3 linked regions of the Sus scrofa genome follow. The protein of the gene in region 1 purifies or fractionates together with the protein of each later gene. This does not show direct contact. Links are inferred from orthologs where the notes say so. Each region holds a gene or a part of one and is shown on either strand. Other genes may lie near its edges.

The links. The genes of interacting proteins can lie anywhere in the genome.
Region 2: the proteins of POLR2H (region 1) and WDR92 purify together in Homo sapiens (affinity purification with mass spectrometry; 3 studies listed by BioGRID and IntAct, with this or other methods). This does not show direct contact. The link is inferred for Sus scrofa from reciprocal best matches to the Homo sapiens genes POLR2H and DNAAF10.
Region 3: the proteins of POLR2H (region 1) and MED19 purify together in Homo sapiens (affinity purification with mass spectrometry; 3 studies listed by BioGRID and IntAct, with this or other methods). This does not show direct contact. The link is inferred for Sus scrofa from reciprocal best matches to the Homo sapiens genes POLR2H and MED19.

Annotation. Positions count from the first base shown.
Region 1 is NC_010455.5:122,249,348-122,254,701, forward strand, and holds the start of POLR2H (DNA-directed RNA polymerases I, II, and III subunit RPABC3), read left to right. Parts: upstream 1-2,281; 5' UTR 2,282-2,407; coding exon 2,408-2,480; intron 2,481-2,584; exon of another isoform or gene 2,585-2,623; coding exon of another isoform or gene 2,624-2,705; intron 2,706-3,701; coding exon 3,702-3,785; intron 3,786-3,857; coding exon 3,858-3,951; intron 3,952-5,021; coding exon 5,022-5,105; intron 5,106-5,354. UniProt on the Homo sapiens protein: DNA-dependent RNA polymerase catalyzes the transcription of DNA into RNA using the four ribonucleoside triphosphates as substrates.
Region 2 is NC_010445.4:74,082,868-74,088,198, forward strand, and holds the start of WDR92 (WD repeat-containing protein 92), read left to right. Parts: upstream 1-2,265; 5' UTR 2,266-2,431; coding exon 2,432-2,614; intron 2,615-5,331. Other genes in the region: RNA-binding protein PNO1, read right to left, coding at 1,335-1,484, 1,704-1,910. UniProt on the Homo sapiens protein: Key assembly factor specifically required for the stability of axonemal dynein heavy chains in cytoplasm.
Region 3 is NC_010444.4:13,238,959-13,244,376, forward strand, and holds the start of MED19 (mediator of RNA polymerase II transcription subunit 19), read left to right. Parts: upstream 1-2,352; 5' UTR 2,353-2,481; coding exon 2,482-2,749; intron 2,750-5,418. Other genes in the region: TMX2 (thioredoxin-related transmembrane protein 2), read right to left, coding at 1,889-2,077. UniProt on the Homo sapiens protein: Component of the Mediator complex, a coactivator involved in the regulated transcription of nearly all RNA polymerase II-dependent genes.

The DNA.
Region 1 (5,354 bases):
GCAAGGAAACGTTGGTGGGGAGAGTAAACGGAAGGACACCTGGGATTAGCACCTGAAGTCCTGTCCTCCGCAGGCCCCCAGCCTCAGCCAGAAACCTGCGTGCAGCCTCCCACCCCCAGCTCCCCAGCCCTCCAGCCTCTCAGGCCCTCGAGCCTCAGTTTCCCCAACTCAGAGGGCTGGGGCAAGGTGAGGGTAGGCCCGACGCGGGGAGAAGGGTAACCAGGAGCAGAGGTCTGGAAGTACACTCCTCAGGGCTCGGCTTACCAGGGTCTGCTCGTACTGCAGCGCCCGCGGCTCCATCCCGTCCTCTGTGGCCGCCGCCGCCGCCGCCGAGGCCGCCATCTCCGCTCACAGCCTTCTGGCCTCCCGCTGCGGCTCGGGGTCTGAACTGGACTCGCCTCCCAGCCCGCGGAGCCCGCGCCCACTCGCGTCCCGTCCCGTCCCCGCAGCCGGGGCGCCGAGTGCAGAGTGCGGCGGGCCCCGGGCGGGCGCCGCCGGCGCAGCCTCCCGCTCGCGTCCCCTCCTCGGCGGGCGGGCCGAGGGCGGTGCCCTCCGTGCTGCTCCGCCCGCCGGCCCATCCACCGGAGCCGGCCCAGCCCGGCTGGGGTCCGCGTTGGGGCCGCCTCCCGGGCTCCGGAGAGGCGGCAGGGGGCGCTTGCAACGCGCAAGCCCGCGTCCCCTCTCCGCGGAGGCGGGTGGCTGAGAGGGGCGTCCGGGCCTGGGTGGGGGCGGGTCCGCTGGCACGTGGAGGGGCTGGGCAGTGTCTGCGGCTCCCCGCGTCCGGCCGGGGGCGGCTACCGAGGTCGGCGCTCAGTAGGACCTGGGGCTGCAGGCTGCTGAACCGTCTAAAGCCGACTTTCGGGCCCAATCTCTCTCGAGAGAGCGGTGCCCTCACTTGCTTTGCTGAAGGAGCCAACGGCTCAGACCGGCCTGGCAAGGCCCCTCTGCTCCGTGGGGGGTGAGAAACAGAACTGGGGAGACTCGGAGGGGGACGCTAGGCCCAGAAGAGGGGTGCTTGGAACTGGAAACTTCGGTTTCTCTCATCCCCCTTCCTTTCTTTGCGACTGTCCCGGGGAGGTGCACCTGGAGCTAGCTGGCCTGAGGCTTGTGCGTGGGTGGAGCCGGAGGGAAGGGAGGTCTAGGTGCTGGGGAGGCCGCTCCTGGGAGGCGGGCGTGGGGGGACAGAGGTCGCTTCTCCTTGGCAGGGCTGAAGAAGAAACCCGAGTAGCTGCTGACGTCTAGCTGCCAAGGGGGAACAGCCTGCTGGGGCTCTGCGTTCTCTATCAGGCTCCGGAGAAGAAAAGTGCAAAGGGTGGGGTGAACAAGTGTGGGGTGAACACAGTCAGAGATAGAGTCAGGGGACAGGCCAGTGCCCAGGAAAACAGGCATTGTGCAGGAGGAGGCAGTACCAGGGTGAAGGGGCAGGTGGGAGGCAGAGGGGGTTCCCAGGAGGGAGTGCCCAGGAAGGGGACAGTGTGAGAACCAGCACCCTAGAGGAACGGGCAGTGTAAAGGAAGAGGTGGTATCCATAGGAGAGGACAATGCCGGGATGAAGGAGCACTTAGGAGAACGTGTCCAGAAGGTGAGCGCAGTGGTGGAGGAAAGGCCAGAACCGAGCCGAAGGGGCAGTACTGAGGAGAGCAGTGTGATGGGGTTAATACCATGCTGAAGGGGCGGTGCGAGGTAAGAAATCAGGGGTGGGGAGGGTGCAGTACCAGAGGAGGAGACAGTGCAGACTTCCCTCTTCCCCATGGTGACATCATGGCAAATTCCCAAAGTGGATATCACCGGGTCGGGTGACATCCAGCTGGGCCCAGCCGGCCTGGGCCAGCCCGGGATTCCTCAGTGCCAGCTAGAAGGACTGGGTACGGCACCCTACTTGGCCATCGCCCTGGGGGCGTGGTTCTGCTCCGCTAGCCCTTTGCGCGGACTGTGCCCTCGGCAGACCCGCGGACCGACAGGGTAGGGCTAGGGCCAGGATTCTCTGGGCCAAGGATCAAGGTCCCTGGCTGGGGTAGGCCCCCAAGCACTCCAGTCTTCCTAACCCGGCATCTGAAGAGGGCGCACTAGAGCCTCCGGAGAGAGCGGGACACCAAGCCACCCCCGGCTGGAGGTGGGACCTATCGTGTTCCCGCCCTGGGAGGAGTTATCTGGACGTGAGACCGCCCTAAACACTGAAGCCTCTCGGAAGCAATCGTTCGGGGCGGAAGTTAAGAAGCCCCGAGAGCTAGGCGGCGGAAGTAGCTGCGTTACTGCTGGTCTGTGCGCATGCGTCCTTCTATTTCTTTGCTGCCGCTCTTCAGGCGCTGCATTTTCCTCTCTCATTTTTCTCCACGCGGGGCCGTGCCCTGCTCCGTAGTCTTCGTCACGCGCTCAGCACCTCTGCTTCTCTCGTGGCCCCCTCACCATGGCGGGCATTCTGTTCGAGGATATTTTTGATGTGAAAGACATTGACCCAGAGGGCAAGAAGTTTGACCGAGGTGAGTAAGGTTTGTAGGGGCGGTTTGGGAGAAGCGGCTGATCTCAGGGACACGCCCCTGGGCCTCTTGTCCACACATTTCATGTGGTCTTCCCCTACCGGCAGGTCCTGACCTAGGGGCCTCTCTCAGGAAACGTTTTATAGATGAGAAAACGGAGACTTCGAGCTCTCCCTCGCTTCACACATGCTGTGCCCGGTGCCTGGGTGACCTTTCTTCATGGTGCTGGTAACCTCCTTGGCATCTTTTTAATCGCTGCCCACTCTGCTAGGCGCTGTGCTGTGCACTTTACACACATTGCCTTACTTATTCCTTTCGAGAGTCTCCACGAGGTAGGTGGTGTCTTACCCATCTTCTGAGAGGCTGAGCAACCCACCCAAGGCTGTACAGCAAATAATCCGACCTCAGGGCCTGTTGCCCTCAGAGTCTTAGCTCTTTGTGAAATCCTCTCTAAGAGTTGACTGCTTGGTATACACCTCCTTGTTCTGACGTTGATCAAGAATTATTTGTCCTTGGTGTCTCTTCCTTTGCTTAGAGACTGAGATATTCTTCAGAACAAACAGCAGGTGTTTGTTTGTTTGTTTGATTTTGTCTTTTTAGGGCCAGACGTAAGGACATATGGAGGTTCTCAGGCTAAGGGTCGAGTCAGAGCTACAGCTGCAGGCCCCACACCACAGCCACAGCAACGCCAGATCCAAGCCCCGTCTGAGACTTATACCACAGCTCACAGCAACACCAGATCCTTAATCCCCTGAGCTGATCCTTAACCCACAGAGTGAGGCCAGGGATTGAACCCCCATCCTCATGGATACTAATCAGGTTTGTTACCACTGAGCCACGGACAAGACCTCCCCAAACAGCAGTTCTTAATAATCTCCTTAGCACAGCGCCTGGCACGGAAAGGCAAAACCTTTGGATGACTGACTTGCCCCAGAGCAGGTTGTTTCTTAGTCACCCATGCAGGCCTAGAACGTGATATTATTTGTTGCCAGAGGACCTTTGATTCTTTTCTGGGCATTCTGTCCACCAGCCATAGTTTTCTGCCTCTTTGCTTGTATATGTGGTTCTTATTGAGCCTGTACTTCTATGAGAGCAGATGAGAGGCCATTGGATACAGATTAAGTATTCTGTGCATACAGTTTCTCAAAGTGGGGTCTGCCCTGCCCTTGAGGGTCTACTTGGCCAGGCAGTTACCTCTGCTGCTCTTTTTCTGTTTCCCTCCAGTGTCTCGACTGCATTGTGAGAGTGAATCTTTCAAGATGGACCTCATCTTAGATGTAAACATTCAGATTTATCCTGTTGACCTGGGTAAGTGTTGAACACAAACAATAACAGCAAGTGTTTTTGCATTTCAGACTCTGATATTGCTGTTATTTTCAGGTGACAAGTTCCGGTTGGTGATAGCCAGTACTTTGTATGAAGATGGTACTCTGGATGATGGTGAATACAACCCCACAGATGATAGGCCTTCCAGGTGAGGAAGTACTTGAAATATGCCTGAGGACTAAATAGATAAGTAGTACAGAAAGACCCTTAGTTACTTCATAGAATAAATGTTTATGAACAGAATCTATGTAAACTTAAGGAAATTGCCGCACTTAATTCAAACAGGAGTTCCTGTTGTGCCTCAGTGGTAATGAACCTAACTAGCATCCATGAGGATGCAGCTTCCATCCCTGGCCCTGCTCAGTGGGTTAAGGATCCGGCGTTGCTGTGAGCTGTGGTGTAGGTTGCAGACATAGCTTAGATCTGGTGTTGCTGTGGCTGTGGTGTAGACGTGTAGCTGCAACTCCGATTCTACCCCTAGCCTTGGAACTTCTATATGCCTTGAGTGCGGCCCTTAAAAAAAAAAAAAGACAACAACGAAGGATACAAACAATGAGTTCTCTGGGAGCTCAGCAGGTTAAGGATCTGCTGTGGCTCGGGTTGCTGCTGTGGCCTGGGTTTGATCCCTGGCCTGGGAACTTCCTTGTGCTGTGGGTGTGGCCCCCCCAAAAAAATAAATAAAAGGGAGAGTTCAGACATCCAGGTGTTTATCCAGAGCAGTGATTACAGCATGAGTTGCAGCTTTTTGGGGGAAGGGGGGCATGCCCACAGCATGCAGAAGGTCCTGGGGCCAGGGATCGAACCTCTGCCACAGCAGTGACATTTCCAGATCCTTAATCATTAGGCCACCAGGAAACCTCGAGTTGTAGCTTTTTGATGGCTGAGGAAATGACCACTGAATGACGTAGGCTGTGTAAGTCTTGTGTCTCAGGAGGGAATTTTGTGTGAGGAAAGGCTTTAGAGCCCCACTCAGTTCACATCTCATCTCTATCACTTATTTGTTGAATAACATTTGACTTCCTTCAACCTTAGTTTCTTCATCAGTGAAATACCTACAGTTATACCTCGCTCACAGGGTTGCTGTCGGGACTAAATGATGTGATGTTTGGAAAGTGCCTGTTGTTATGATGTTGGCACTTAGTTATCAGTTACCATTTTTAAAGGGTCTCTTATTATTGTTGACTGTGTATAACAATAACTGCCACTATTGTTCCACAGGGCTGACCAATTTGAGTATGTAATGTATGGGAAAGTGTACAGGATTGAGGGAGATGAAACTTCTACTGAGGCAGCAACACGCCTGTAAGTTCCATGGTCTTGTGAGAATCTTCTCCCCCTTCCCTTTTGTGAGAATCTGGACTATGCTCTGAAAATTTGGGCCAGGCTCAGGCTTCTTGGGTCTCTCTCCCCAAGCACCTTAGACCTAAGCAGGACCTGGAAAGAAGCTGTTCTGGGAACAGTTTTCAGTGTGGAATATAAATGCCCTCTGTGAGGACCTCAGGGCCTGGTGGTCCAAATGAGAAGCTGGTAATCTTGCTGTGTGAAAATGCA
Region 2 (5,331 bases), on another chromosome or scaffold:
CACCCTTCCCCCCAAAAAAACAACAAAAAGATACCAAGATATCATTAAAAACAGTGTGTGGTCTGGGAAAATTCATCTGGCTCTGGCAGAAAGGATGGAGTGGGGAAAGCAGTTTAAAGCAATGAAGGAAAGGAAATTCATAAGCAAACAAGAATTTTGGCAAAAAACCCATAAAACCTGAATGAAAGTGGCAATGGGAACAAGAGGAATTCCTCTGTCAAGTTTTGACTTTTATACTTTACCAACTATTTAAAACAGGGCCTCTCTGCTTTATTATTCTAGTCCCTCAACAGAAATGAGTCTTAAGATGAATCCTTAAAAAGACAAATAATTTTGGTCATTGATTTTTTTTTTCTGCTTTTTTTTTTAGGGCCGCACCCTCGGCATATGGAGGTTCCCAGGCTAGGGGTCAAATCAGAACTACAGCTGCCGGCCCACACCACAGCCACAGCAATGCAGAATCCAAGCCACGTCTTCGACCTACACCACGGCTCACGGCAATGCCAGATCCTTAACCCACTGAGTGAGGCCAGGGATTGAACCTGCAAACTCATGGTTCCTAGTAGGATTCTTTTCCACTGTACCATGATGGGAATTCCTAGGTCACTGATTCTGAAACAAAATTGGCACTCAGAAAAAACAAAATAAAACAAAATGAAACCCTACTGCCTAACTCCTAGCCTGACATCATGGAAGGAAGGAATGAATGAATAAATACACGTATGTATAACTTAAATTTATCATCGGTACTTTTTTTTTTTCAAAAAATACCACTAAAATATGATACTATAGCAAGTACTTTCATTGATTACTTACATACTTCTGTTTATGACAAGCTCTTTATTAAGCCTTTTCTTAATCAACACAGATTATTAAAAATATGCAGACCTGGACTAGTATCCACAAGGATGTAGGTGCAATCCCTGGCATTGCTCAGGGGATTAAGGATCTGGTGTTGCCGTGAACTGTGGTGCAGGTCGCAGGACTACCTTGGATCTGGCATTGGTGTGGCTGTGGTGTAGGCTGGCAGCTACAGCTCCAATTCGACCCCTTGCCTGAGAACTTCCAAATGCCAAGGTGCAGCCCTTCAAAAAAAAAAGAGACATAGCTACTATTTTGGTATGATCTCAGGCCCAACTCATGAATTGGACTAATATCTGCGCTGAGTGTAGATTTTGAAAGCATTTGAGAGGTTCAAATACTAAAATATTAGAAAATTGGGAAAAAATCATTTAACAAAATAAGCCCCTCTAAGGAAAGTCGGTTCATGCCTTTTCATACCCACAGGTGAGAGAAACCGCAGTATATTTAAAAATGGTTAACATTCTCCTTACCCTGATTTCTACATTCCTCGATTTCAAGTTAAAGCGTATCTGAAGTCCCAAATGCTCCACAATAGGAGTAAATATCTTCATCCAATTCTCTTTTAACGGCGTGTACCTGTTAGCAGGAACTGGAATTTTCCTAGTTTCTTCTTTCCCACTCTACAATAAAAGAAAACACAACTCAGGAGTCGTCGGATGGGCGGAGTTGTAAACTGACAGCTGATCCACAAAGAGCATCCTTCAACTGAACGAATTAAACATCAGGAGAGTCCTTCTCTAAAACCTTCACGCCATAAAAAGCTTCTACATCACCCTAAAGCCACAGGGTCCCCAGGCCTCTGCTTTGCCCCGTTCCTGTTCGTGAGTGCCCGCCAGTACCAAGAACCCGTCCCCGGAGAGGGGAGGGAAGATGGGCCTCTTCGCCGGCCGAGCCTCTTCCGTGTCCATGTGGCTCGCGCCCCCTCCTTCCTCCGTCGCAGACAGCTGCTCAGCCTGCCGTTTCTTCGCCCTTCGGCTACCCTTGCGGGTGACCTGGGTGAAGCCGTCCTCGGCTAAGGGGCTCTGAGCCTCCATCTGGGTTTCCATCCTCAGGACTCTCCAGCCCCAGCGGGAGCTTCCGGCTTGAACACGTGCGGGGCTGTACCGCGCAGATGCGTCTCGCAGGACCCCAGTCTCCACCAACCAGCCCCAGGGCTCCGCCCTCTTTCCTAAGACGTCCACGCAAGGGACCTGAAGCAAGATTTTGTGTGTGTTTATTGGGAGGGGAAAGGGCTGTCCTAAAATATGCCTGATTCTTATGGTCGCCCTCTGCCCACGCCAACTAGCAGCCAGAACATTTAGTTATCTCTAATATATACTAAAGGTTTTAAGTAAAGGCTACAAACAAGCTTGTGTTGTCGGTGAGGGAAAAAAGTCTTGTGTCTTCGGTTGCTCATCCGGCATTATCAAAGACATCTAAACCCAATTTCCAAGGGCGACAGGGGCGCTTACGGCAAACGGGAGGGACCAACTGTTCTTAACGTTTGGTTTCCGGTTTCCAGGTTAGCGTTTTGTCATGGTTTGTTGGGGGTGTGCCTGTGGCCTAGGCGGAATCCAACAGGTGGACCATGTCGGCCTTTGAGAAGCCTCAGATCATCGCCCATATACAGAAGAGCCTCAACTACACGGTATTCGACTGTAAGTGGGTGCCCTGCAGCGCCAAGTTTGTGACCATGGGCAACTTCGCGCGGGGCACCGGCGTCATTCAGCTGTACGAGATCCAGCACGGGGACCTAAAGCTGCTTCGGGAGGTGGGTACCCGGTCGAGACTGCCCAGTGCCAAGATCTGGGCCTGCTCTTGGGGGGCGAGTGTGTATCTTGGGCAGGGGTGGTGTGGGTGGTCTGCATTTTTTTTTTTTTTTTTTTTTTGCCAAATCCTATGTCCAGCGTCCCCCCAAAGCACTTTTCTAGTTGCGTGGGAGTAGCGAAGCTTGAACGCAGATTGAGGAATACTTGCGATGTACAATACTTTGGTTCTAGTTCTGAATTCTTGGCGGGCTAGTTCATTCGCGCCTTGTCGGTCCTTTCCTCCAGCCACCCCAACCACCCTCCCAGTCCAGCGAGAGGTCCTTGGGGATGACATTCCGTCTTCGTGTTTAAATTTGGGGCCCTTTGGGGCAGGGCACACTTATTTGTGCAGAGCCTGTTAATAGGTTCAAATTAGTAAAATGCTTTTTCATACAAACGGTCAAAGTGGACACCAGGATGCCTGCTATGTAATTGGAGGAAGCAACCAAACATAGCTATTCTTTCAGCAAGTATCAGTTGATTGCCTGGTATTCCCAGGCATGTAAATGACAATGTCCTGGATATCATGGAGTTTATTTTCTAGTAAGAGAGAGAATCAGTTAAATAATCAAACCAACGCTACATAAATACAAATCTAAAGAAAAAAAAAAAAAACAAAGGAAAAAAGATTTGAGTTGAGTAGAAGCTAACAAGGCCCAACTAGGAGTAGTGGAGATTTTCAGAGGAAACAGCCCAGCGATGGGAGAGAGAGTGTCTCCTTTAGAAACAAAAAGAGTAGTAAGCAGGGACGTTGCAAAATCTGTAGGTCACTTACAAAATTTATACTTTTTTTCTAAGAAAAAAATGGGACATCAATGAAGGGCTAATTTAAGTGGGTGTGGCAAGGTCAGATTTACAAGTTTTGTAAAGATTTCTAGTGAAGGAGTTGGAGAATGACAATATTAACTAGCATGTTTATACCTGTTTACAGTTTTTAAAATGCCTTGATTTGGGTTGCATGAAGGAAAAATGATATAGCGTACTCAGACGTTTAGCATTGTTAAAGACGACAGAGAAATCTGTAATTCCAGGGGTCCAAAGCTGTGGAGAGAATCAACATGGAAGAGTTAGAGGTTAAAATGGTAGGCAAAGGATGAGTACAATTTTTATAGGATAGCAGAGATGAGATTTAAGCTTTACATGTTTTAGGAACGCCAGTTTTCTTGCTATGTTTGTCTTTTCTAGCCAGGCGCTCTTCTCCTAAACATGTTCTTTTCCACTTTTCCTTGTGTGGCTCATCACTTAGTCTCCAGTCGCCTGCTATTCTAAGATCCAGTTCAGATTACCTGGTTAATGACATCCACTCCTGATCCACGCAAAAGCAACTTTTCTTTACATCGCATTCCCAACGGTACTTATTAACTGTGCCAGAAATAGATCATTCTGACCCATTTATCTCTAATTAGATTGTAAGCTCCTGGAGAGTAAGGACAGGGTCTGTCTTTAGTATGGCATGTTAAGGAGCAGCCACTCCTAAATCACTTGTTGAAAGAGTAAGTTTATTCTGTAAAAGGATATAACTTGGGACATTTAAATATTGGTTTATTGGTCCTTAATCGATTGGGCCAGAGGTTTGAACAAATAGGAGACATTGGGATTGCAGAAAGAAACTTAAAGGTGAAGTATTAGGAATAAATACCAATCAAAGCTCAACCAGACAGCATTACAGACTTGTGACTTTTTATTTTTATATAAGGCCGTATGACTTGTCTGTCTTTCAGGAAGACACTTGTTCTGTAAAGAGAAAAAGTGCTGTCTCTTCTAAAGATTCTGGAGGATTCTAGCAGGTTGTTCTTTTGTGTGTGTGTGATAATTTTACTTTTTTTTTTTTGTCTTTTCGTCTTTTTAGGGCTGCACCCTCTGCATATGGAGGTTCCCAGGCAAGGGGTCTATTGGGAGCTGTAGCCACCAGCCTACGTCACAGCCACAGCAGCACCAGATCCAAGCCGCTCTGCAACCTACACCATAGCTCACGGCAACGCCAGATCCTTAACCCACCGATGGAGGCCAGGGATTGAACCTGCAACCTCATGGTTCTAGTCACTGCGCCATGACGGGAACTCCATAATTTTACTTTTTAACAAAAGTAATATGTGTCCATGATAAACATACCAAAAATATAGTTTGGGGAAAAAAAAAGTTAATGTCACCCATAACTAGGATTAACCACTTTTTATTTCCACCTTTGTCATTGGCTCTTAGGATTAACCACTTTTTATTTCCACCTTTGTCATTGGCTCTTCTCTTTTTCTACCAGAAAATACCTACTGAGAACCTATCATTTCAAGGTATTATGCTAAAGAAGGGCCAAAACTATTTGAAAGATGAGCCCCTTCTCTTAAAGAACCTATTTTCTAAAGAGAGGATAAAAGCAAGTACACAAATTTCAGAGCTTACATTGTATTTGGCTGTGATGATGCAAGGGAAAAGAATATAGCTAAGGAGTTCCAGCTGCGGCACAGTGGGTTAAGAATCCAACTCTCGAAGCTCAGGTCATAGGTTTGATTCTGGCCCTGTGCAGAGGGTTAAAGGGTCTGCCATTGTCCCAGCTGCTGTGTACGTCCCAGCAATGGCTCAGATTCAACCCCTGGCCCAGGAACTTCCTTACACCAAAGGTGCAGCCATAAAATAAAATTTTTAAAAAGTTTAAAAAGAAGGTAGGTTAAGTACAATCTCCGTG
Region 3 (5,418 bases), on another chromosome or scaffold:
TAAACCACCAAGACACAACAGGAACTCCAGAGTGCTACATAATCTTTAAATGCTATCACTCTTTCTGTATTACTTCAAATTCTTCTAGTAGGAAATTAACATTCCCTTATCAACTATTTATTACTCTGACAGTGTATAGAGGAAAAGCAAAGTGCTTGATTATTTCTTTTATTTAATAAAATAGAAATGAACTTTTATTCTGTTTAGCCACTGAAATTTTTTTTTTTCCTTTTTTTTTTTTCAGTGCTGCAGCCTCAGGATGTGGAAGTTCCTAGACTTGGGGTCGAGTTGGAGCTACAGCTACTGGCCTACATCACAGTCACAGCAACGTAGGATCTGAGCCACATCTGTGACCTACAACACAGCTCATGGCAATGCTGGATCCCCGACCCACTGAACAAGACCAGGGATTGAACCTGAATCTTCATGGATACTAGTTGGATTGCTTCCATTGCTCCACAACAGGAACTCCCTCTTTTTTTCTTTTTCTTCCACCCACAGCATATGGAAGTTCCTGGACCAGGGATCGAACCCGTACTTCCAAGGAACTGCAGTTGGATTCTCAACCCACCGCACCATGGTGGGAACTCCAAGCCACTGAAATTTTGAGGTTTACCTGTTATTGCTAAGATTATTTACCTTAATATTCTAACTTCCAAATCACCAAGGAAATAGTAAAAGATTTTTTCCAGGAAAACAAACACTAGCTATAAACTCTAAATAGTTAAAGGTCCCTACTTAATAGGTTCTTTTGGAGTTCCTGTCATGGCACAGTGGAAACGAATCTGACTAGTACCCATGAGGATCCGGGTTCAATCCCTGGCCTCGCTCAGTGGGTCAGGGATCTGCCATTGCCTTGAGCTGTGGTGTAGATCTGAGACAGAGCTTGGATCCCACGTTGCTATGGCTGTGGCATAGGCTGTAGCTCTGATCTGACCCTAGCCTGGGAACCTCCATACCCCGCAGGTTCGCCCCCCTGCCCCCCAAATGGATCTTTTGAAGCACCACAGCTATACATGAGCTACTTAATAACACTGGGAAAGAACGGCGGAAGTACGAAAAAGTAAACAAGGGAAGGAGAATAAAAGTAAGGAAGTAAGTTCTGTCAAAAGTCAAGACTCATTCTGGGACCTGGAAAAAAAAAAAGACAAAAACTCAGGAAGGCCCTCCTTCCTCGTAACACAGATTCAGCTATACAGAAGGGGGCACAGAACTTCATCTTATTTTTCTGAGTGGTCCTTCCACTTCTACTTAGGAAGTACTGCAAGAGAGTTCAGATTGATTTCTTTACAATGAATTTTTTTTACAATTCCATTTCAATAGGCCTAAAACTTTATTCATTTTTACATTCTCAGGATGCAGCACAGTGCCTAGCATACAGTCCTCCCTCTGCAGTTGTTAACTGAATTAAAATGACTGATGGTGCTGCTGCTTTGGCCAGAAGAGTGGTTTCAAGTCCCAGCCACTCACTAGTTGTGTGACCTTGGACAAGTCTCCTAACTACGCCGAGATCAATTTCTTCATCAGTGAAACGAGATTACTACTACTTGCCTTGTTTACCTCACTGATTCCTCAAGAGGCTTTACATAACGAGAGCAGCACTGTAAAACAGTGCAGATGCCTCGTTTGGGTAGGTACGAATTGTGAGACGGAAAGGACCTTGGACTCAGGAGTCAGAAGACCCCGGCAGGCTAACTCGCTGTATTCCCATCTTAAACGTGAAGAGGTTTACACTCGACGACCGCCCAGGCTCTAGATTCTTAATAGCTTAAGTCCGCTACAGGTTGGGAACCTCAGGTGTTCTCAAACAGGTGAACCTCGCATCTCGTAGATGCAACCTAGGACAGGGTGTCAAGGTCGCGGGGTCCTAAGGCGGGGGGTCGCTCACCCAGTCAAAGTCACACGGGTTGCCGTCTTCGCGTTGCGTGGGGAGATTGTAGCAGACAGGGGGCAGCTTCCTCACGAGTAGGAAGGCAGCAGAGAGGAGGGCTGACAGAAGGTAGTAAGGTCGGGCCAGCCATCGTGATAGTCGAGGTATCGAATAAATAAGAGCAATTAAAGGCGCGAGAACCGCCATCTTCCCGGCTCTAGCGGCGCCAGCCGCTCCACGGAGTCCGTGAGCCTGGTCCCGCCTCTCCCATCATTGTGCTTCCATTGGGCCTAGTCTCGGATGCACCGCCTCTAGATCCGGAAGCAGATCTCTGACTGGCTTCTGCGTCAGGTTAAAAATGGAGAAAGGGCTTTGATATTTTATTGGCTAATCTAGCTGTCTTTTTTTCCACCTAAATCGTTTTATTGGACATATGCGACTGCGGCAAGTAGGAGATACAGGAGAATTTAAATAAAGTTAAATAGTACTTCCGGAACGTTCTCAGAAGGCGACGGAAGTAGTTGCAGGAAGAAGGTAGGAAGGGCCCGAGGCAACCCAATGGTGAGAGGCTCCTGAAAGAGGAGGGCGGTACTCTGTGAAAAGATTGACCAATGAACGTCACCAACGCCAGACACCGAGACAGCGCCGGGGCGGAGGAGGCGATGGAGAATTTCACGGCGCTGTTCGGAGCTCAGGCTGACCCACCACCGCCCCCGACCGCACTTGGCTTCGGACCTGGAAAACCTCCACCCCCACCGCCTCCTCCTCCGGGCGGGGGGCCGGGCCCCGCCCCGCCCTCTACCGCGGCCACAGCCGCTCCCGGCTCCGACAAGTCAGCGGCCGGTTGTGGCCCCTTCTACCTAATGCGGGAACTGCCGGGTGAGTACAAGGCCTGGTCAAAGCCAGCCAATCAGATCATAGCGAGGAGAGGCGGGGCGTGGCTCTCAGCCTTCCGACTGGGGTGAGGGGTAACCTAGGCAACGCGTGGCGCGATTTCGGAACACTATACTAGAAGAGGTTCTGAGGATTCACAACCGAAAGAATGATTGGAATTGGGATGGATTAGGGGTGGGAAGAGAGTGGATCTCCCTGACCACCTTTCACGCCCGATCCTGCCCCTGACGCTGGTTTTTGACTCCCTAAAGATTATCCTAGCTTTGAGTTTGGTATTTGAGGGTCCTGATTTAACATCCCTGCGGACCCAGTTCCAGATCTGCTTCAAACTTCCTGTTGGTTTGGGACATGTTGTCTTTCTTCCTCTGGGCCTCGGGGTTTCAAAATGTGTTCGAAGAAGTGATTAGAATTAAACCAGGTTCTTTCATTCAAAAAATTATTTTGTTGCGCACCCACTCTGTGTACCAAGCACTCTTCCAATTGCTGAAGATACAGCTGTGAACAAAACTGACAAGATCCTTGCCTGTTTGGGAGTTTACCTGCCAGTGGAGGAGTCAAAGAGTGATAAACAGATATCTGCGGATAAACAGATAGTATCAGATAGTGGTTATGGCTACAAGGGGGAAATGTGATAAAGAATTGAGGGGGCAGAACTGCTTTAGCTAGAGTGATCAGGAGAGCCCTTTCTGAGTAGATAACATTAGAGCTAAAATATAAGCACAAAGGAAGAGCTAGCCATTTATGAGTGGGAGGAGAGAGAACTCTAGATACAAAAAATGAGATTAGAAGGCCCAATGTGAGAATAACCTTGAATATTTGAGGGACAGAAAACCACTTGCACTCCGGGGAAGTGAACAGGGAAAGAGCGATAGGAGATGAAGGTGGGAGAGTAGGCAGAGGCCTCTATAAGACATTTTAAGTTCAGGGGGAACCATTTTGACACAAGAGTCTGAAGTGATCTAACTTCTAACTTATTTGCTTATTTTCAATCATTCGAGCAGCTCTATTAAGGAAGCAAAGTGGGGGAGTTCCCGTCATAGCACAGCAGAAATGAATCCGACTAGGAAGCATGAGGTTGTGGGTTTGATCCCTAGCCTCACTCAGTGGGTTAAGGATCCAGTGTTGTCCTGTGCTGTGGTGTAGGTTGCAGACGCAGCACAGCTCTAGCATTGCTGTGGCTCTGGTGTAGGCCGGCACCTGTAGCTCTGATTTGACCCTTAGCCTGGGAACCTCCATATGCCTTGGGTGCTGCCCTTAAAAAAAAAGAAGAAAAGTGGGAAAATTGGTCAGAAGTTACAGCTTAGTAGTTCAGGAAAGAGATGATAGTTTGAACTAGGAAATAGCAGTAGAGGAGAGAAGTAAATGGATGCCAAATAAATGTTAGAGGTAGAACTGACAGGAATGCAGGATTGAAAATAGAATTGAAGGACAGAGGAATTGAGGGCAGTTTGGAAATGTTTGGCTTGAATAATTAGGTGGATGGTAGTGCTAAGATCAGGAAAGGACAGGTTTGAGGAGATGGATATCAAGTCATTTTGGACATGTTAAGTCTCCAGGATGACATTTAGTTCATCCCAAGTCCTACTGCTACATCAAGAGCTGAAGGAGGGGAGTTCCTGTCACGGCTCAGAGGAAACGAATCTGACTGGTATCCATGAGGACACAGGTTCGATCCCTGGCCTTGCTCAATGGGTTAAGGATCCGGCGTTGCTGTGGCTGTGATTGTAGGCCAGTGGCTACAGCTCCCATTCAACCCCTAGCCTAGGAACTTACATATGCCACAAATGCAGCCCTAAGAGAGTAAAGATTTAAAAAAAAAAAAAAAAAGAGCTGAAGAAGGAGTTCCTACTGTGGCCTAGCCAGTTAAGGATCTGGCATTGCCACAGCTGTAGCAATAGGTTGCAGCTTCGGCTTGGATTCGATTCCTGGCCTTAGAACTTCCTTGTACCATGGGTATGGCCCAAAAATATCTGAGGGAAATGATTTGTTACAGACCTTGAAATTCACAGTGCAGTTAGATATGTTTTAGTGTTTAATACTTACAATAGCCCCTTGAAATAGGCATTGTTATCTGCTTTTTAAAGCTGAAAAACTAAAGCATAGAGAGGTTGACTTGACTTTAGTTAGTGATTGATGTCTACCAGCAGTTTATTTAACCTTAACTTATTTTGATTGTACCTATTTACATTAATCACTTGAATATCTGTTCTGGGCAAATCCTGGGTATAAAGGAGACATATGATGAGAAGAGGAGAGAGATGAGTAAGCCTGGTCCTTGTATTTTTTTTTTTTTTTTTTTTTGTCTTTTTTTGCTATTTCTTGGGCGGCTCCCACAGCATATGGAGGTTCCCAGGCCAGGAGTCCAATCGGAGCTGTAGCCAGAGCCACAGCAACGCAGGATCCGAGCCGCATCTGCAACCTACACCACAGCTCACGGCAATGCCAGATCGTTAACCCACTGAGCAAGGGCAGGGACCGAACCCGCAACCTCATGGTTCCTAGTCGGATTCGTTAACCACTGCGCCACTACGGGAACTCCTGGTCCTTGTTTTTGAGCAAATAATTTTACCTAAGACTTCAAAGTGTATGGTTTAAGAATAAAGTAGTGATTATTCTTTCTTTCTTTCTTTCTTTCTTTTTTTTTTTGTCTTTTG